3 linked regions of the Struthio camelus genome follow. The protein of the gene in region 2 binds, or shares a complex with, the protein of the main gene of each other region. Links are inferred from orthologs where the notes say so. Each region holds a gene or a part of one and is shown on either strand. Other genes may lie near its edges.

Region 1 (7,375 bases), on a different chromosome or scaffold from region 2:
GAATGGCATTTTCAGAGACCCAGAGGAAAAACTCTGCCCTATTTTGGGTTACACCATTTCCCAGGATCTAATGTAACTTTCAGTTCACAGGATATAGAATTTTGATCCCTTAGTTATAAATTCAAATCAAGTGTTTGACTGTGGAGTAAATCATAAGCCACCAGCTAATCAACAGTCTCTGAACTAAATTGATAGGCTTTGTTCAAGTAGTAGTGTATCCTGACATTGTAGAAATAGTAAGTGCCAATTTTATTTTTGTTCTCTAAGAAAATGTCCCAAGTTTAAATGAATACACTTATGGCTTATTCTCGTTTTGTATCTGACCCTCCTGGGTACAGACTTGCTGCTAGAGAGCAGGTTTGCAATGCCCACTCTCCATTTTGAATCTTTATTTAAGATAGACATTTGAATACACAGTGACACTGCAAGATGACAGTAATTCTTTTACTTCTTTGGAGCTAACAGTTCGTCATACGTATCAAACTCAAACTTATTTCCGTCTCTCCAGACTTTAAAGGATAAGTTGACACAATGCAAAGAAAAAAATATTGAACTGCATAACACTAGGCAGGCTGTAAATTCTAAAATTAGGACTTAGCCATAGATTTAGAAGATTAAACTCAAACAAAGAAAAACTTACCAGGGCATCCCAAGAGAATTGTTTGTTTTTAATGGACTAAGTTTTATTGCCACAGTCTAGTTAACCGATGTCGCATGCAATTTACTTCAATTACCAACAGTCTCTTTTCTCACGTTTTCCCTAAATGCAGTTTGCAGACAAATCTTCACTTGGTACTACCTGAGCAAGTTTAGAAAGATTTCATTGTGAGCTGCTGCTCTGGACCTGCTGTTTTGTATCTAAGTCCCGTGCCCCAGCGTGCCACCATGGTGATATTCAATTGAAACTCAGATTATCAGCCATGTTTTGTTCACCTTTGACTTCAGAACCACCTCTCTTCTGATAATGCCATCTCTTGTCATATCTTCCAACCATTCTCATACCTGTCTTTGTTCCATCTCAGTCTGTCATCCCTGTTCCCCGTTCCACCACATGCAGCCTGGTACAGTCTGTTCCAGAAGTCTTTATGCCAGTTGCAGAAGTGTTCATGGTAGCTACTGGGCTAGGTGGGAAGGGAGGAGGATTTGGGGACAGAACTGGGACAAACCTTAAGGGTAGGGTTTGATGGGCGAGGATTTGCTATACTGAAACAGAAGGTGCAAGACAACCAATATTTTTAATAATCCCATTTTTAAATATCAACACTCTCCTACATCTGCATGGAATGAAAATCTATAGGTACCTCAAAGCAGTTTTACTGTCTACCTAAATTTGTCCGAGGAACTGTCAGCTGTTCTAATGAATGAATCCCTAAATACCAGATCTAGGGTACTAACCATGGATTGTAGAGGCACTGAGATGCAATTCTAAAACACTGTTTTATCTTTCAAAAAATCAGACTATCTAATTATAACCAACTGTGTTTCTGTCCCATTAGATGAAAATGTAATGTTATTCAAAAAAAGCCAGTGAGAATGTTTTGGGTACTTTTAGGTCTTAGTGACAAGGCATGCATACTGGTAACTTCTTCTCAAGTTTTAAGACTGTGTTTTGGATGAATGTTTAGCAATATAAGCCAAGTCTAATTCATCTTTCTACACCTAAATCGAACTACTGTTTACTTTTTGGGATTGTAAAAATATGTGGAAATGCCAGACAGTAACCCAGTGGCCCCTTGGCACCAGGGCAACTCACTAAAGTATGTATGTGTAGACTTAAGATTCAAAAACAGGACCTCAAAGAGGTTAATGGTCTATTTACCATTGGTTTCAATGGGCTGGACATTCATGTAGGAGTTTTCAAGAAAGAAAAGGTAAAATAAATGATTAAAATAAGAAGCTATTCCTGGAGTTAAGAAAAGCGTCTCAGTGGTGCTTGGTAGCTGTAATTAGGAATTGATCTGGCTAAACGAGGAAGTGCTAGCACTATAGATAGACCGGTCTAACGACACAAACAAAATGGGTTCTCTTGAAATAATAATAGCTTTTTGCTTTATTTTATCATCCTGCAGGTTTCACTAGCAAGGTGACGAAGCTATCGGTCCTTATTGGTAAGAGCTGCAAGAAGAAGGTTGAAGGTCTGGGTTTTTGCTTGGTTCGTCTCCTTCTGCTCTGAGCGTCCGGTGGGTGTCCTAACTCTGCGTAGGACTATTGGGCTTAAAACAATAGCTCCCGTCTTTTATTTGTTCTCAAGGTTCTCTATAAAATCATTACTACGTTTTAATTTCGTATAGGTGGAGTGTACAGTGTGTAGTATTGGTGTCTTTTATCGGTCATATTTTATGCCGACTCGCTTATTGAGCTGTAAAGGTGGGTGCAGAGGGTCGTGCGGAGCTGCTTTTAAATCAGACTGTTGCGCATTTAATATTTTAAGTGCCCGGGAAGCCAGTCTTAACCCTGCGCCACTGAAGCACGTTAAGTGCAGGGGGAAAGATTACGGCCGCTGTTGTTTTACTCCAGAAAACACCCATTAAGTTACACTACATCATCGACAGCGAAACCAGAGACCACGTAGAGACCGCCAGGCCCGCGCCGGCCCTCCCTCAGGAGAGCGGAGACACCGCGTAACGGCCGTGGGCGCGCGGCCCCGCCCCAACGGCCTCTAGGCGTCGGCTGGTGCCGCCATCTTTATTCCTGGCAAGCCCCTCCCCTCCCCCGCGCGCCTCGGCACCGTTCCCTCGGCGGGCGCTGTCCCCCGCCGCCATGTCTGTCGCTGGCACGACGCCCGGCCAGCCGCCACCGCCCTTACCTGCGCTGTTGCCCGGGGACTGCGGGCCGCTGCGGCGGCTGCTGTCGATAAAGACAGTGCGGCTAAAGGAGCCGAGCCGCCTCCTCAGGGGCTCGGGCAGCGACATGCTGCGGCGCCGCGGCCCGCCGTTACTGTGGCGACGGGGCGGCGCGCAGGCGCAGTGGGGCCGGCGGCGCGTCCGTTGGCCGCCTCAGGACGGCGCTCGGCGGGGGGAGGCGCTGGCGTGTGGGTGGATATGTTTTTTCTAGTTTGTTTGGGCACGGCTCGTTATTATTATTATTAATTTGTTTTTTTTTTTTTAAATCACGGTTACAAAAGGTTGTTTCAGCAGGCGGTTGCTTCCCTCCTGAGCAGGGCTGTTTTCCATCTCTATGAGGGTAAATTCAGGGGATCCGTAGTGTTCAGTGATAACTAGGGAGGGAGAAGTGGAGTAAGGGTGGACATTGTTGGAGCTATTTAATTCCTCAGAGTGGGTATTGTTTTGAGTGGCTATCATACAGCGTTGGTTTTATGATAGATCGAGGTAAAACTCAGCTAGAAAATATCCTTTCCTCGAAGAAACCTGTTTGTGGCACAGCTGAGTTAAAAGTAGTGGTGATATCAGCAGAGCCTTTTAATTCCAGTTAGCTTTTATGCCTTATAGGAAGTCTTCCTGGGCAGTAAGAAAAGCTCTTGTTTTATTTTGAACGTATAGGTACTTTGTGCCTGAACCCTAATAATGCTGTAATCTGTCACCAGGATTTTTCAGAACACTTAGGGCCTGGCTCCTTCTGAGGAGAAAGGATGCGTTTTGTAAGCCTGGAGGAAATTATGTTCTGCCTGACCAGAACAAAAGAGCAACTTGTGCCCTTTCCTACGAGGGCTGATAACTTTTGAACTTTTGTGATTTTTATGTACCTAATGTGACGTGGCGACTCCCTTCCCTTCTCCTTCCAAAAATCATATTTAGCTACTTCCCTGGGTGCTCATTCTCTAGTATGACTTTCCAAGCTCAATTATCTCTGACTAAATAATTTAAAGCCTAGTTTAAATTTAATTTTGCCCTATTCCACTGGGAGAACCCCAGAGACAGATGAAAAACATGAGTTCTGAGAAATACGTTTGGTTTAGTGCTGATGAATGATGTAGTATTCACAACAGATACTTTTCAAAGAGCTTCCCCAAACAGATGTATGCCAGCAGGGACCTACATAAAAAACTTGGGTCCTTCAGAAGAGGTGAAGTGATTTTTAAATAATTGCCGCAGGTTGGAGGGGAGAAGGGTCTCGAGGAATCCAGAATTCTGGAAGGATCCCAGAATTTCAAGGGATGCTGTGCATGTCCCCTAACAGGCAAGGAAGGCAGCAGGCTTTGCTGTGGAAGTACTCCTAGAAAATGAAGCTTAAAAGGTAGGTGATGCTACAGATAAGACAAAACAGAAGCTTAATCCTGTGCAATGCTGTATGCAGTTTCTGTTGAATCCTACAGAAAGGGATGCAAAACTTAAAACAGGTCCTGGGCACAAGAAGGCAGATATGCTATTAAATGTAAGATATTCCTTACAAAATAACAAAAGAAAAAAGATAATGTAGCTCTGTCTGTACAGCACTGACCACAGCTCAGCAAGGCTGCCTGGACTAGCCTTGAGCTAGCTAGCTCAGGTTTGCTGCTAGGACAGCTCTGCAGGGAAATAATCTAGCAAAGGCAAAATGAGTATTTGTCCAGCTCCTTTGACCTGACTGTATCTGACTTTGAGCTCTGTCTTATTGTAGGCATACTGACAATGGTGCCTGAGTGAGCTGGCCTATTTGATGGAGTAGACATACCAACAGTCTTGTGTCCCAGCCAGACATGGACCCCAAAGCTCAGAGCTGTGAAGGCACTGGAGGTATACCATAGTTTCAATGACTAAAATCTGTGCCTGTGTGCCTGCTAATTAGCTGACTACCAAGTACAGTACTAGAAGGGTTTAAAGCTCTCTTTAACATTTACGGCAACGTGGAAAAAAAGTGTTAGGTAGGTTGCTGAACGTTTAAGAAATGCAATCTGTATTTGTTATTTTGCCAGTTGCCAGTAGGTGCTAGAAACAGGTTTCCTACCAGACTCAACAAATGATTTTTGAGTGCTTTTTGCATCATCTTGCACCTCTTGCTGTAAAGTTGTGCTATAGACAGTGGCAAGATGATGAATCCGTGCAAGATTTCTAATCAAGTTGCCTGAAACCCTGTTTTATTGTTGTTGCCTTGGTCCTAATCTATTTCACACCCTTCCGATTAGGGGTGCACTATTCCCATATTCTCAGTTAATTACACCCAAGGAACAGGTGTATATGAATTAAAAGCGTGGTTGGGTTTTGATTAAGGAAGATCTTCATGGAAGTTGCAGGGTTTTTCATAGTATAAGCTGGTGGCCTGTTAAAGTTCAGCCTTTAAGGATTTTCCTCTTGATTACTTTTTCAGAATGGAAGGAGGAATTTTTCCTAGAATGCACAGTGTTGTTCCTTTCCTGTTGCCAGTGGCTTTGAGCAGGGGCCCTGATCTCCCAAACTGATTTTCTTACGTTCCCCCATTCTGAAAACCTATGAAGCATACAGTCGGGTGTCCTGTGAGCAGCTCTATGGCAGTCAATGGAACTTGGTAAAATTGGGCTCTGCACTTTCAAAACTGTGAAGCAATCCAGCTTAACAGTCAGTGAAGTGTGAAACTGAGTAGCAGGTAAAGGAAAGGCTGATGGAATGCAGATACCACAAGAAATGCCTGGATTTGCCATGTGAACTCAATTTCCAAACTCAAGGTGTGAATCTGTGATATTTGGCAGCCTCACGTTTATAGCAGATGGCCGAGCATTCCACACGTCCCCGCAAAATAAAATTGTGCACATTTTTATTTCGTGTTTTGGTGTCCGCTCAGACGCTTAAAATACTCCCTGAAGACGGAATATGCTTTTTGTTTTGCTAATCCTGCTTAATTTTCTTCAGGCTGAGTCGTGCATTTATTGTCAATGTAATGAACAGAATTCCTCTGATTTTTTTTTTTAGGGTTTTTTAGGGAGCAGTTTCAAGCAGAAAATAATCTGAAACCCTTTAAGTATCAGAACACCAGGGTATCTGCATTGATAAATCAAAGCTTCATATAACAGAAGCTTATAAATATATGCTATAAGGGGTGACAGAAAGAAAAACGCTTAGCCGTGTGTGACTATAACAGTTATGATGGCCATCTGTATAAATAGTGTAAGTATCCAAGTTTTATAATAAAGTTGTATATTGGCTTTTTATTTTTTAACGGAAAGGCATTCCGTTACTGAATTCCTTTGTGTCTATCCACCTATGAGTGCTTAAGGTAGAAATAGACAGATTTCCAGTTCTCCAGGCTTCAAAATAAGCTACTGAAATGAGAAACTGGAGGAAATAAACCCATAGTTGTGCAGCATATTAAGTGACTGTTTTATTTCTCTCGGCACATGCTAACTATAAATAAAACAAAAGTCACTGAAAATCTGCCTGAAAGCTTTAAATCAGAGGAATATTGGATCTTTGTGTATCCACAGTAGTCCAACTAAGTTGGTAGACACTGGCTTGGCTCCCAGACCGAAGCTCCTGGGGCTCTCTGGCAACAGCACTAAGCCATAAACACCAGATGCAGTATATCTAACGAAATTAAATATCAGCAGTTTTTTACAGCTGGCATTTCAGAAACACAGAGTTCATTTAAATGGTGCCAATGGTTTATCTTTCCACCTGAATCGCAATTGCTGTATTTCTGAATGTGCTGGTTTGGAATCTCACAAATGTTGTTTTCCCTGGCATGCCTGCGCTACTGCCCCTTAGATAGCTATAAGCATGCAAGCAACAGAAATCATTCTTCCCTTTGCTTGCCCTTTAATACCTGCCCAGTGTTTTAATAGAAATCCTGTAAAACATGTAAAAAGTGCTGGTGAACAGAGGTATGCACAGACAAGCAGAGTATAGGCTTGTTTTCTCCTTCTGTTCTCAGAAAGAAGTGACAGATTGGGAATTTTAACAAATTACAAATGCCATGAGGACTCTCTGTGTTTGAAAGGATCACGTTATTAGCTGTGACAGTGTCTGCCAGAGCAATTTCACAGCTGTGCGCCTGGCTTGCGGTACCCTAGGACAATCTTTTCTCCATGTCACTTGAATGCTACTCCCTGGTGTTCGTTTAACACCTAGAGGATTTTTGTGTCTGGTAAACAATTATTGCTGCTGATGAGACCTATTGGAGGCCCCTATTTCAAGCATTATATATAGCTGCAGTCCTTCCATGCATTAAATATATCTTGGCTATTTTAGTCTTAAGCATAAAGACAGTAGGGAAAAAAAAGCTATTACTTGCTCCCATGAATTGATTTTCTTCTTGCTGTACTTGGCATTTAGTTAAAACCGTTTCCTAGCTTGTTTTGTTTTGGCGATTTTTAGTTTTATAAAGCACGTTGGGAAACTCAAAGCTGGTGCTGCTGTTAAACCAGTTTTACTGTTTGTTTTGCAGAAGTACTAAAGGACTATATGGTACAGAAGGAGGTACTGTAAATGGATGAATTTTGAGCCATATTCTCACTTACACAAACGTC
Region 2 (7,797 bases):
CCCAGGTACCTAGGCAGCTTAAATAATTATCAACCTGCACCGCGGAAAAGTACAGGGACCAAACTTTACAGGGAGGATGAAGTGACATCAAAAGGAATTATTAAAGCTTGTAATTCTCTTTAATGTTAAAATAACTCACCTTGGCTTCCACTTCATTTTCATATTTAAAGGGGAAAGTGCAGAAGAGCAGCGTAAAAGGAACAAAGAAGAGAATTAGTTTTGAATCAATCACAGTTCACAACAGTGTTAAATTCACACCTGCCTTTTTTGTTTTGTTTGTGATTCATTCCCTCACCCCCACTCCCTGTTTCTTTTTATGAGCAATTCCATACAACAGAGTTAAGGGTACTAAACAATCATCAAGATTCAACAGTTTGTTCATGACTGCATACAGTTTCTTGATTGGTTAAGTCACAGATCAGATTAAAAGCTTTAATCACCTGGCTGTTTAATTACAACTTGCCTCACTGTCTGACATGTAACAGACTAACAAAAGAAGTTATGAAACATTTGCACGTGTATGTTACTAAAAACAGGAACGCAGCTTTTATACGTGATCATAAACACCAAATTTGCCTTCAGATACCTTGAAGGACTTCTGATGTACTATGCCACAAAGCCTATATAGTTGCCTTTCCTTCTGCACTATCCACTCGGATGCTGAAAATGACATGCCCGTATTTCTCTCTAAACTGTGTCATACTGCTATGCACCTACAAGCCTATCCAAGAACACCTAATCTTATTTTAAAAGTTTCTGTTATGATTCAAATATACAAGAGATTATGAAGAAACAGGGAAGGAAGGAAGAGGAGAAAAGCAGATTGAAAAGAGGAACATTAATAAAACTGCAGTAGATGTTAATAAACCTGAGGCAACCGCCTGTCCAAGACTTTTTAATAGGATTACTTCTCCAAGTAACAATAAATGAAGTTATATAATAAAGTTTCTCACCTCCTGTAAAACTTTAAAATGCTTTTACAGCCTTTGTAAGGGGTTCTGGGACAGCAAATTAGCAAGAAAATGCAACATTTTTAAAGCCTTCACGACTACTCAGACGTTCATCAAGTTTTTTGTTTTTTCATTTCATCACCTTTAAAGACCACTGCAGTACACAACTCCTATCAGTTCCGTAAAGTGAACTGATCTTACCTTGGCACTGGAGGGAGGGCACGAGGAGGGCACTGCAAGAGAAGAGACAGAGGCAAAAAACAACTTCTGTCAGTGCAAAATCACCTCTCTCCTGAGTACCTGTTAAACCACATCACAGAAAACAGCTATTTCCAGGTATGGTCAGAATATGCTAGGTAGGTTTAGCTTCTCATGCTCCCGAAACCACACTATGAACATCTCACGCATAAGTAAATGCAAGTGAAAATATGGAGAGACTCCCAAATGAAGAGGCTACATAGAAGTGCACAGTACTACTGAGGAATAATATGATGCTTTTACCTGAATTTGGATGGGTATTACATTAGGGACATGCACCTAATAGGCATATATGAGGTGCAGCTTGCATTTAAAGTTCGCTTGAAGAATTTTTGCGTTTCATATACGATACTGAATTCACAAGAAAGTTTATCAGTCATTTCATTTAAATATTAACCCACTGCAATAATTTAATAGCAATATACTTGCACACTACATATCATGAGCTGAGGGGTTTTTTTTTTAAACTAATGAAGCTGTAAACGCAGAATTACAAAACAAGAACATTCAGTAATGAGCAATAAAAAGGAAATAAGCTTATTTATTAGAACTTTTTTAATATGATAAAAAACTTTCATATTTACCAGGAGATCAAACATAACTAAAATCTAAAAATAAGTATCCCTTGTTAACAATCTGAAAGCCAGCTCTCACAAACCAGATAATTCTCTCTCACCTAGGAAAAGGCAGGCAGCTTACTTTCAGATTTTGTGTTATATAATTGCACCGGAAGAATATAGAGGAAGAAATGTTTGCCACACTCCAAAATACAACTAGAAATAAAGAAAAGAAATGAAAAAGACTGAGATCAATGGCTCAAAAATCTGCAAACTTACCACTTGTTTCTTTCCCATATCATTTGAAGCTGTTCCCTGAAAGAGGCACTGTGAACTGTGAATTGCTCCTCACGCCGCTTACTCTGAACCTCAGCTAATTCTCAACTAAAAATAAACTTCTCGCAGCCAGGATTAGCTGGAGGTGAACCTTCCTGTCCCCGGGCTAGGGCCCAGGACTACTCCCATTTGAATCAATGGCAATTTGCTGCGGGAGTTTTCCATGATACAAGTCCTTAATGTCACCTGCACTAAGAAACCCGTGACTCGATGCGCTGGTAAAGCGAGTGGTTTTCACTCGGGTTTGTTTAGGCGATGCAAACGTGAGACCCTGTGCAAGGAAAGGTTTGCAGGATCGGGCCTCACGTCTCTATCCTGGGTTTTGGTGCCATTTGCAGAGGGAGAGACGGGCACCCCCTGAACAGCACCGCACACACGGGCACAGCGAGGGAGGGAAACGAATGGATAAAACTTCAGCTCAGAGCTCACTGCTTTATTGCTTCCTATGCTTTTGCAGCAGCAATTATTAGGGTTTTTTTTTTTTTTTTTAAAGCATAGTCAGAACTTTTGGAAATTAAAGCCTGGGAACACCTGCGCAGCACTGAGCAGCCGCGCAGCAGCGTAACGCGTGCCGTTACCTCCCGCGAGGCACCGGCAAAGCGACGGCATCTGCCCCTTACTAAGCGAACCATGCGGGGGCCGCTGCCCGGCGGCCCACGCGCCTCCGCGCCCTCGGCCCAATCCTGCCACGCAGGAGAGATGCCACCGGAGGTGCCGCCAGTCCTCAGGACCCAAAAGCGCTCGCCCCAAACGAAGCGCCGGTTTGCAAGGACGTCGCTCTGCCAGCGGCCGCCAGCAGCGCGCCCACGGCTCCCGCCGCCCGCTCCGCCGCCGCCGCCCTCACCCGGCCGGGGCCCGCCCGCGCCGCCGCCGCCATGCCGCCCTCCGCTCCGCTCCGCTCCGCGCCGCCGCCGCGGCGCACGGGGAGGAGCCGCCGCCGGCTTCCGGGGCGGCGGGGCTGGGGGCGCGCCGCTGCCTGCCGCCCTCCTGCCGGCCCGCAAGAGGGGGACGGGCAGCAGTGCGCGCAGCCGCCGCCCGCACTTACCCACGTTAGAGCTGACGCGGAGAAGCAGCAGGCGGAGCGAGAGCCGCAGGACGGGACTTCGCTGGGGCTTGTAACCTGAGCGGTGTCTTTCCGGAGTGGTAAAGGCGCTCGCGGGGGCTTTCTCCGGCACACACCTGTAACGGGAGAGGAGGGCAGTGAGGAAGGTGGCCGCTGCTTCGCTGCCCCGTTGGAGCGGCAGAGCGTGCCGTCCCAGCCCGCACCAACGCGGAGAGGCTTTCCTGCTCCATTTCCCTCTCTGCTAAACCCACTGCTCCCGCTGCCAGCTTTTACTCACTCCAGCATACGGACCCAGAGAAGAACAAAAGGTTGATGTGGCGCGTACTACAAAGATAACTGTGGTTTCGAGAGTCTTTTTTTTTTTTTTTTTTTTTTTTTTACAGTAACGCCACTCTGCTTCTGTCTCGGAAAAAGAACAAGCACCCGGCCGACACCTGTATAAATAACACTGCGCAAAGGCTGCCTGGCTTGGATACATACAGAGTATCATCTGTCCGCGGGGCTCCCAGAACACGCAAGTATCACAATATCAGGATGCTCCTAAGAGGAAGGGAAGCGGGGAACTTTCAGTAGCTGAGTACATTATACAGGTACATGAAACAAAATAGAATTTTCTTTATTTTTGTAATTGACACCTCACAATTTTTTTTCTGGTACAAAAATGGATCAAACTGTAACATGCGGGAGAGCTACACAGAACATAGTACGATTATATCTCCTGCAGCAGCTTCTTTCCTAATCCTCTTCCAAATCCTCACATACAAAGATAAATTCTTGCAATCCCGACATCAGGATTATTCCTGAGGTAAAACATAAGCTATAATCTTCGTGAAGCTGGCAGCCTCTCAGAGTTACGGCTGAGTGTCTGAGCATATCCATATTGCAGGGACCCACTGGGGCTCATCCTGTGCACGATGGACTGCTGATAACAGCTGTGCAGATGCTTCTTGTAAATCATCATTCACAATCACTTGATCAAAGAACTGACCAAACTGGGCTTCCATTTTCTTAGCTGACTCTTCCATCTCCTGTAAATCTTCTTCCTGCAAGAGACCGACCAAATCTATCACGTTTGAGCGTTGGGCACAGAACCACGTCTGCAGGGCATCTGCAGAACCCCTTGGGCTATAATAAACAAGAGGCGAATAGACAGCGCAGTGTAAAGTATTTCCATTTACAATCGCTATCAGCAGTGGAGTATGCATGCTACAATCAGTTCTGAGCTTCTGAACACAGCTGACTGCCACATCTTTCCCAGTGAAAGATTTCACCTCTCAGTATGCTCCAGTATATTTTTCATTTGCTCCCAAAGATTACTTTACTGACAAGTGCCAGCAGAGGATGTTATGCACTGCAGGCAAATTCGGTTTGCAACAGTTGTGCTCTTACTCTGCATTTTAGTTTATCATCAGATTTCCAACATTCACATCTCTGTCTTAACAGTTATGATTCATTTCCATATAAAGTTATGGACTTAGGCCTCTGAAATTATAAGGCGCTAAACTTGATCATGATTTTTATGGAAGCCATGGTGACAAATGCACTAGACTCATTCTGAATGCAGCACAGAGATTTCCTATATGCAGAACTTGTTTGTTTACAGAATTCACTATAGAATTGCCATCAATATTATCATTAAGCAATGATAATCTATATGAAATATGAGTATATTTCTAATGAAATAATCTATATTAAGTACTTATAACTATAAGAAAAAATTGATTAAACCATTGAATGGAACACATTCCATATATTTCAATGCAAACAAATACATGTGCTGACTTAAATCTTGTCACAAGGCAGTTTAATTAAAGCAGACATTTACACAACAGCCTCTCTTTTAAAGACATTTTGGAGACAACGCCTCAGTCCCCTAGGTATGAATTATAACCCTTCCACTCCAATTCTGGAAGAAAAAACAACCAAAACACACACAGATCTAGTCATGAAGACACAATAATCTTTTAAAGTGTTAACATAGTAAAAGAATGCATTATGTTCTAATGACAAATTCCCAGTGTAATCAGCTGTCGTCTTCCACCTCCAAATCTCACCTTGAATTTCATGTTCACATAATAATCTGTAATGATCCTTGCATTTTTACGAGACTGCCTCATGCAGTTTATGCTGGATGGCTTGATGAATATAATGTAGGGCTTTAATTCATGAGTCCGGGCTACTTGAATGCCCTGCAAGTTAAGAGTAAAAAGAAGTTAAATTAAAGCATTTCAAGCATAATCACTCCCATTTTATTCCCATTAAAAAAAGCAAATTGTTTACAAAGTACTGTTATCTCCAGACCTAGCAGTAATCTTATTCAAGAACACCTGCTTTAACATGACCTCAGTAATAATCTCTGGTCCAGACATTATTAAGCACCTGCGCCACACTGATCATTTAATTCTGCATGGTAACCTTATTAGGAGAGGCTTTCAACTCCAGAGAATGACTGAACATTGTCATTAACAGGTCTCTACCATCAACCATCACTGTAGTATTTTTTTTTTCTACTAAGACCAGATTCAAAGAATACTCTATTATTAATAAGCATCATAAGCTAAAGTGAAAATAAGACAAGTCAGAGCAATTAATGCTATTCCAATAGCTCAAGAATGTACAGAGTTTTTTTTTTTTTTTTCCTCCTTCCAGGAGATGCCAATTGCAGGTTCCCTGCTCTTTTGCAACTCACCTGTGGTTCTAAATCTATTATACAGATCTTCCCTTCATCAAGGACTGTTCGCACTGCATCGACACTGGTACCATACAGGTAACCTTTGTACTCCCCATATTCTAGCATTCTGCAATAGCAGTGAGGGAGGAGAAAGAAAAATGAAAGAGCACTTGAGTCTCAAAAGGTTCCATTTACAGGTGAAATCTGCAAGTGTAATCTCTGTGATCAAGACTGAATGATGATAAAACATAACAAACATTATTGAAGAACCTCCACCTTTGCTCTCCCCCACTACAATGAGCATAACAGGCAGGACTATTAGAGCCAATCTGGACATCCCCAAAACATGCATTTTTACCCATCTTGCTGTGACAAATTGTGTGTTCAGAGGTTGCAATTCTGGTCAATCTCCAGACAACTATAAGGAAACTTCAATTATATTTATTTACAGTGATAAAACACTTGTAATTTATATAGTACTAATAATTTAATAATCAGAAGATCTCAAAACACTTTGTACAGCTCAAGGAGTGTTGCTTCTGCTGCTGAGCTGGTCTGTTTTAGTGGAGGAATTACTGAAGTGTAGAAGTGAGCAGACATTTGCAAGTTACAGCTCAGGTGCCTACATGGAGATGTCATCACTCCAGAGGTCCCACAGTGAAGATGTGCATATGGCATAGGTCTGGCTCACTGTTCAATTTTAGAAAACAGTCCAGTTTTAAGAAAGGTTAAACTCACAACTCAAAATATCACATCAGATGAGCTCAGGACTTGGAGATCACACTTTATCTTAGAAAGACTCTGAGATTAATTTTAGAGGACCTTGTTTGTCACTGCACAAGCACAACTTTTGAAGCTATAGCCTCAAATAATTTGACAAAAAATTTACATCAAACATATATAGCAACTATGAGGAGAGGAGACCAAACCCGAGGCCTAACTACAAAGCTTTTTTCCCATGTTAAGTGGCAAGAATGGAATTTGTCACTGCTAATTACCTGTGGGTGTACACCATGTTTTCAAAAGTTTCCTTTGATACATAGTGATATTCACGACCATTCATTTCATAGCTTTTCTGAACACGCGTGGTGTCTGGAGAGGAACAAAACCAACAAATTAACAAAAAAATGTAACTGCAAATAAATATTTGTAAGTTTATAAGTGAAAAATGAGACATGAAGGAAGATTAATCAGTATTTTCATAAGTAATGAAATTAGTTGATTCCATTTGTTAGTCCAGAGCAAAAGCTTTGTCTACTCTAACGGTTGCCCAGGGGCGAGTCCTTGAAAATTAGCAGGCACGTCCATACTTCTTGGGACAGAAGAGAAGTGGTTTATTCCAAATACTTTTGACTCAAACCAACCAGGAAATGCTTTAGACCCGCTTGCACAACTGTTTCTTCCTCTCCTCTGAGGCAAATTTCATGTTCATTCTGAAACATCCCACAAGTGTTTCCACACTTACACTTTCCCCATATTTGGGATCTTAAGCATAATGAAATGCCTAAAATTTCAGATTTCAACTTCAAACTCATACATTTCCCGTTTGGTTATCCAAATCACAAGTACCAAATAAGCTCAGGCAGAGACAACTTCTATGATTAAGCCAGAAATTAGGTTGCATAATTCTCAGTCAAGACAAGAAGGCTAATAAGGAAAGCTGCAAAGCCTAAGCATGAACTTCTATTGCCTTCATTCTCATATCTCATCACTTAAACACTACAAATTTATTCTTATAATATCCCTAAGAAGCATTCCTTTTTCAGAGCTGAGAAAAACAAACAACAGGATTAGACAAAACCATAAAGGTACATAAAGCTCAAGCTACAGCTCCTGAGACCCATAAGATAACTTTGGCTGATTTGCCAAAGTAAGGAGAAAGACAGTACTTTAAACTAAGCCTTATAAAAGCAAATGACACTAGCTTGCAATAGAGCTGAAAACCTTCTATACAGCAAAGCT
Region 3 (6,679 bases), on a different chromosome or scaffold from region 2:
TGTAACAAGTTCTAATAATAGAGGGGGTGTTTTATGGACCCTGTGCAGTGCAAGGCTGCAGGGGAGGGAAGGGCAGCTTGGGAGACTCCCTCGGGTGCTCTGTGCACACAGGTGGGTGCTGGTGGCAGGCTCAGAGATTTTTGGGGGGGGCGGGGGTGAGCACAGCTCCCTGCTAATGCAGGCCCTGGCACAGCCTTCCCCAGGCCTGGCTTATTTGTGCAGCTGAGGACCAGAATGACTCATACTGCTGCTTCCTGGCAAGTGGCGAGAGCGGAGCAGGGCTCTTGGAGCTGCCGGTGCCAGCGACGGAGGCAGATGCGCTGGGGCTACCAGAAGGGCAGGCAGAGCGGTACCTGGCCTCCACCGGTACCTGACCTCTAACATGCGTGAGGGCTTCCTGCACTGGTTCTGCCGGCATGTGGCCACGCAGGCAAGTGCAGCCCCTCTGCCCCCTGCGCTGGCTCCAAACAGCCCTGGGGGAAGCTACATGCCCAGGCACCAGGTAAAAATAAATATTTATTGGAAAATAGTAAATTATTCTGAGGTTGCAGTAGAAAAAGTAATTCTCCGTATCTCCAACTGACCTGCGTGTCACAAGCCCAGGGGTCCGGATCCTGCTACGTGGAGCTGGAGTCCCAGACGGCAGCAGGGCGGGTGCTGCCCAGCGAGTTACTTGCACGTGTTGCAGGCAGAGTAGAGGGGAACGCGCAGGGTGGAGGCTGCCCTGCCCCGCAGCTGCCCGTTGGCACAGGCTGAGCCACAGACACCCGCCGACGCCAACGTGCGCTCGGCCCAGCGCCCCGACCGCGCCGGAGCGGGGCCAGCCCGGCAGCACATCTCTGTCCCTCCCACCACGGCCAGCTGGGGGTAGGGTGTGGGCTGGACGACGGAGCTGTCAGCATGGCTGCGGGCTTCCTGCCGTCCCTTGTACCTGTGCCGCTCGGGAATGGCATCGTACCGTGTTGCGCTGGCCCTCAGTACGAATCCGTGCTGCAGAGAAGGGGAGATGGGGCTGGGTCAGCAGGCAGCAGCAGGCCCCCAGGCTAGGGCGGGGGCTGCACCCCACAGCTCGCCCTGCCTGGTTCCCACCGTGCCGGGCTGGGGGGCAGGTTATTTCCTTCCTTGCACCACGTGGCCAGGCTTCCAGCTGCAGCACTACCTGGAGAAGGAGGCCAGCGTGAGGATGCCCAGCAGCAGCTCTGCAGCATAGAAGACCAGGAGGATGGCGTTGAGGATGGCTTCCAGGCGCAGGGCGTAGGTCTGGAGCAGCAGGTAGTAGGCCGCCATCGTGGCCGCCGGGAAGGTCAGGGCCAAGCTGATGGAGAGCGGCACCTTCCGCTGGCACAGGTTGCCCTTTGAGCCTGCACAGCGCAACGTTACTGTGGCCTCACCTCTACCTCATGCAGCACAAGGGTACTGAGGCTCCCAGCGGGGTCCATGCTCATCTGTGGCCAGGACCCCGCCGTGGGGGACACAGCAAATGGTTCTGCTGCAGCCCCAGCACTTCCTGCTGGGGTCCTGAGCAAACACCAGCCACCGTGGGCTTGGGCCCTGGAGGTGTGCAAGGCTGGAGCGCCCCAGCCGCCCATGCCAGGCCCCCACCGCCTGCTTACCCCAGGACTTACCAAAGAAGATGCGGGTGACCTCAGTGCCCAGGTAGAGGAAGAGCATGACCACATCCAGCGCCAGGTTGGCGGAGGGGTAGGGCAACAGCAGCACTGCGGGCACAGCCACCGCCGCCCTCAGGGCTGGCACGGCCGCGGGTGGGCCGCCACCGCCCTCGGGGACGGAGGGGGGGGCCGGGGGGGCGGGGAGGGGGCCGGGCTCACCCTTGTAGACGAAGATGAAGGCCTCCAGGAGGAAGTAAGTGGCGCAGTACCAGCCGTTGAGGAAGAGCAGGATCTGCAGCGGCACCGAGGAGCGCTGCCGGCCTGCGAGCAGACGCCGGCCGTCGGCGGGGGCGGCCCGGCCCGCTGCCCCCGGCTCTCGCCGCCCCCCGGCTCCCCCAGCCCCGCTGCCCCCGGCTCCCGCCGCCGCCTCCCGCCTCCCCCAGCCCCGCTGTCCCCGGCTCCCGCCGCACCCACCGGCGCCCGGGCCCAGCCCGGCCCCGCACTCACTCCTGGGCGCCATCTTCCATCTCCATGGAGACCGCCACAGCCGCCCTCACTCCCGGGAGCGCTCGGAGGGGCATGCGCCAGGCCGCTCTCGCCGCCCCCTCTATGGCCGGGGAGGACTGGGGGACCTCCGAGACGCCGGTTCGCGGCCCCGGCCCGGCGGGCTCGCCGCGGCGCCGGCGGCTGCTCGCGGCAGAGAACCAGGAGCCGCGGCCCCGCTCCAGCGCTCCCTCTGTTCAAGCGCTTCCTACCGAAGTCCAAAGACTGGCAGGGAAACTGTGCTTTCACGGGTGAGCTGCTGGCTCCCATGTTCCCCCTGGCCACCCAGAGCCACTGCCCTTCTCGTATGTCCTGCAGCCCTTGTCCCCAACCGGGACACGGGGAACCTGCTCTTCCGCTCCCCCTCTTTCACATCTCACCAGCTCTCACCTATGCACTGCATGAACGATCCTCCTCCCTCTGCCCAACGCAGCTCGGGGATAAACCCATGCCACCCAGAGCCCCCACTGCTTCTACCTCAGTCTGAGCATCCCCAGTTGGGACCAGTGGCCTGCATGACACTGAGAGGTGATGCAAGGTGAAAACAGTCCCAGTTTTGTGACTGAAAACACACTGCCTAGCTAGCTAGGGCCTGCTAATGAGTAAATAACATTATTGGTTCAGTTCTCTCCAGAACAGTCACTCAAGGAAGCTTGCTGTCAACACGGCATCGCAGTCCAAGAAAAGAGCAGGAGCGGCCTGGGGGTGCCCGCAGCACACAGACACACGACAGCCGCTGGAAAACACAGCCAATTTATTTCTTTATAATTTACAAAAACTAAGTCCCAGCAGGGGATGTAATGCCGGGATAGAGCCCTCCTGCTGCACGGCTGGGCCCGCAGCGTGCATCCTGCAGCTCCTGCTGCTGCCGGAGCATGAGCCACACTGGAGCAGGTGGAAGGATGGGTCCCCAGAAGGAGGAAGAGAAGGAAGAGGAGGAATGTGTCTGGACTGGAGTCATAGGGCCTGGACAAGCCCTCTGGCCTCTTGGCTCCATCCCTGGCAAGGCAGCGGCTGGGCCCACAGACGAGGAGGAATGGAAGGAACCCCAGGAGAGCTGGCATGGGCAAACGCTGATCCTGCGTGCAAGGGCGCTGCTCACCCCGGGAGCTGCCTGCGCATGCTGAGATGAGGCAACAGGCAGCCGAAAGCCTGAGCAGAGCTGTCAGCCACGGAGCTGAGCAAACTCCTTGCGCAGCCACAGCGAGTCCTGATAGAAGAGGGGGTCGCCCAGGTGCACCGCGGTTCTCTTGTAGAAGTAGCAGTAAAGCACAGCCGCTGGTGGAGAGAGGGAGGTGAGGGCCAGGCGGGCAGGAACATCCACCCCCACCTCCCTCCCTGAGGAGTTACGTCACACACGCTCCCAGAGGCGGTCCAGGGGCCTCCGCTGATGGTACAGGACCCCCACAACCACCCTGACATGGATGCCAGGGCTGCTGTGGGCTGTCCCAGCATGGCCAGTGAGGCAGGCAGCACCCTGAGAAGGTGAGCCCTTACCCAATCTCTGGAAGACAAAAAGCGTCTGCAGGCCTTCGGTCCACACGAAACGGCTGGATTCTCTCCACCGCAGGTTCTGAGGCAGACAGACAAATGTGTGGGGCGTCAGGGCCAAGAAATAACCCTTGCATTACTGCTTGGGGACGGGGAGAGTTCAGCACCCTGCACCTTTAGCTCCCCCAGCACGGTGCCCTGGGAACGCCAGCAGGAGAAGGCTGTCCCTGCACCCTACGGACCGTGGCTGCCTTGAGGCTCTCCCCACCAGGGGAGAACGAGATCCTTCTCTGCCTGGGCAAGAACCCGTGGGCACGGTGGCTGACTCCGAGAGACAGCGTGCAGCCGGGAGCAGCGCCCTACCCCAAAGGTTAAGCAGCTCAAGGGATTTAGACAGCGAGCCAGGACCTATTCTAGCTTCAGACTTCAGATCCCAGGAAATCCCTGTCAATCCCCTGCCCGGGTGGTGTGTGGGCAGCGCAAGCCCGGCTGCACACTCGGGCAGCTCCCACCCCTTGAGCGCTTACTATCCTCGGCACCATAGCGCTCTGGTAGCGGGGTGGGGGTGGCACCCTCGGAGCTGGGGCACTGTCCCTGCCCCACGCCCAGAATAGCTGGGGCTACGCAGGGGGGTACTCAGGGGCCAGGTGGGGTTGTGGGTTGCTACTTTTGGGGTCTGGTGCCTGGGGCAGAGGACAAGGGAGCGCTAAGGCCAGGGACAGAAGGGAAAGATGCTTCTCAGATGAGCAGGGAACCCTTACAGCTTGCTGAGCTGTCTGATGCCAGCGGATGGGGGGCTGCAGCCAGCCTCTGAGCGCTGGCATTTGCTGGAGATTAATCCCAGGTAATACAAGGTGCTGCTGTCACGGCCTTCAGGCTGGGGATTACCCAGAGCAGTGTGTGCCAGCGCAGCGCCAGAGCCAGGGGGCTTTCCATGGGGAAAGAGGATTGTCCAGCAGGTCAACCAGGGAGGGGGCTGGGATGTGGCAGCTCCCTTCCAGTCAGGGCAAGTACTGAGCAGACTGTGAGGCCAGTCCCTGCTTCTCATAGCTCAGTGCCTGCCTCTCAAATGACCTCTCTTTGCCTCCTGGGCTGAGCACGGCCCAGGAACATCTGCTGCGTCACTGCTGCAGCCTACAAGCCCAAAAACCGTGGCCGGGGCACATGCGCAATTGCAGGGGGACAAGGAGCAGTGAGGAGGGGGAGTCATGCCAGAGGCTGAGAGAAGACCTCTCCCATCTCTACAGCTAAATTCCCCACTGCTCCTGCCTTCACTGCCCTCTTGGGAGCAGAGAGCTTTCCTGGACACACTCACCCACCTACTGAAAAGCTGCTCACACAGGCAGGCTAAGTCTTCCCCAAATCCCCCGGGGGAGCAGCTGTTTCCAAACTGTGCAGGACAAAAGGTGCAGGGGGAGATTCTGGCCCTCCACTGATGCCCAGCATGTGGGAGAGGGGCTGAGGGGAGCCAGGGGTTGTGGCCAGCAAAGCAAGGGGACCAGTGCCCTGTCTGCATGTCCTCTGGGGAAAGTTGGCAGCCCAGGACCCCTCTCAGCCTACCATGACCCAGACATGGAAAGAGATGCTGAGTGCCAGGTAGGCCGCTGACAGGAGGATGGTCCCCTTGAACTTGTGAAAGAGGAGGTTGACCAGACCGGCCTGGAAGACGAAGGTGTTGAAGAACATGAGAAAGATGATGATGACGTTGAAGAGGATGGCAATGTCCTGGATACTGCAGGAGGAGAGAGAGGTTGTAAGCACCCTTGTGGTACGGGAGACCCCAGCCCTCCTGTCCCCCGCTCACACCTCTAGGTCTGCCTGGCACTCACATGAAGAGGACAAGTTGGACAGCAGGAGCTGTGCGGAGCAGCTCAGAGAAGGAGTTGACAAACAGGTCGTAGAAAAGCAGCAGAAACTGCAGGAACAGCACCAGGCTGTAATTACTGGTCTGGAGCATCTTCCTTTCCCAGGGGCACAAGCCCTCAGCCCCGGCATCCCAAGTGACAAGGCCAGCTCATGCTCTGGAGCCGAGGGGCTCAGCGTCACCTCTCGTACCACAGCCTTTCCCTACAGCCAGCACCTGGGGCCTGGAAGGGGAGCAGAGGGTATAGCTCAGCAGGGCCAGACACAAACGCCACAACTGACACAGAATCCAACTCTTCCTGATCCCCACAGTGAGAAAATCCAGAGTAAATCCAAAAAGGAGCCTGCTGGTTTCTGTGCTTCTGCAGCCAGGCCCAGCTCAGGGAACAACCTGCCTGGCTCCTCTTATGTTGCACATATGTAGCAATGAGACTGCCAGTTCTCTACCCCAAGCAGCGAGGCCTGCAGGTTCCTATGCAGAGCCATCCTCCTGCCTTTATTCTGCAAGCTGGGGCTCTTATGAATAAGCTGTCTCCCCCCTTTTGTCTCTCACCGTGCAGCAGACTCAGATTGAATCTCTCTCTCGCACTCTTAAGCCTTACAGCAGCCCCTAACCTGAGGGAACAGATGGAAAGAAATTCAGGGATGAGGAAGATGCATGAGTCCCGGGGCAGAGACAGGAGGACAGTCCAGGCAGGTTGCTTACACTTGTCAAGGTGGACAAGTGAGTGGAAGCCACACGCCAAAGCTGCACACCAGCTCATGGGCAGGCCTGGGCAGGCCGTGCTATGGGAGCAGGTTTGGGCATGCTGCGACGCAGCATCGCTCTCCTTTGCCCCGCTCCTGGACCCTGCACCCAGTCTGAGGTGGCTGGTCAGAAAGGACACGCCAAACAGCAGGGCTGACTGGGGCTGAGCAAGGAGACACAGCCCTCCTGCACGGCTTTCCCATCGCTGACAGCCAGGCCAGGGCCTGCACTGCTCTGAGAAAGCAGCACGTTGTCCCCAAGGAGCACAGGTAAGGCAGATGCCTGGCTGCCATGCAGGGGTTATCCCCCTCTCCCCAAGGCAGCCCTCTGACCCCCTCCAAGCCCAGGGCTCCCCCAGCGGCCCCTCGTCACCACCACACAGCCCTCTGACCCCCTCCAAGCCCAGGGCTCCCCCAGCGGCCCC

What was found. Proteins that work in one complex are often made in the same cells at the same time.
Region 1: TMEM237 (region 2) and TMEM17 share a complex: the UniProt entries of both Homo sapiens proteins name them as parts of the tectonic-like complex. The link is inferred for Struthio camelus from reciprocal best matches to the Homo sapiens genes TMEM237 and TMEM17.
Region 3: TMEM237 (region 2) and TMEM216 share a complex: the UniProt entries of both Homo sapiens proteins name them as parts of the tectonic-like complex. The link is inferred for Struthio camelus from reciprocal best matches to the Homo sapiens genes TMEM237 and TMEM216.

The regions. Positions count from the first base shown.
Region 1 is NC_090944.1:140,245,709-140,253,083, forward strand, and holds the start of TMEM17 (transmembrane protein 17), read right to left. Parts: upstream 3,004-7,375; 5' UTR 2,913-3,003; coding exon 2,807-2,912; intron 1-2,806. UniProt on the Homo sapiens protein: Transmembrane component of the tectonic-like complex, a complex localized at the transition zone of primary cilia and acting as a barrier that prevents diffusion of transmembrane proteins between the cilia and plasma membranes.
Region 2 is NC_090947.1:10,247,634-10,255,430, reverse strand, and holds the start of TMEM237 (transmembrane protein 237), read right to left. Parts: upstream 3,014-7,797; 5' UTR 2,979-3,013; coding exon 2,946-2,978; intron 2,081-2,945; coding exon 2,045-2,080; intron 1,184-2,044; coding exon 1,152-1,183; intron 151-1,151; coding exon 140-150; intron 1-139. Other genes in the region: MPP4 (MAGUK p55 subfamily member 4), read right to left, coding at 4,016-4,207, 5,219-5,353, 5,854-5,962, 6,834-6,927. UniProt on the Homo sapiens protein: Component of the transition zone in primary cilia. Required for ciliogenesis.
Region 3 is NC_090946.1:3,982,637-3,989,315, reverse strand, and holds TMEM216 (transmembrane protein 216), read right to left. Parts: upstream 2,151-6,679; 5' UTR 2,131-2,150; coding exon 2,085-2,130; intron 1,932-2,084; coding exon 1,830-1,931; intron 1,719-1,829; coding exon 1,626-1,718; intron 1,362-1,625; coding exon 1,160-1,361; intron 991-1,159; coding exon 975-990; 3' UTR 504-974; downstream 1-503. Other genes in the region: TMEM138 (transmembrane protein 138), read right to left, coding at 3,319-3,431, 3,651-3,726, 5,205-5,376, 5,474-5,601. UniProt on the Homo sapiens protein: Part of the tectonic-like complex which is required for tissue-specific ciliogenesis and may regulate ciliary membrane composition.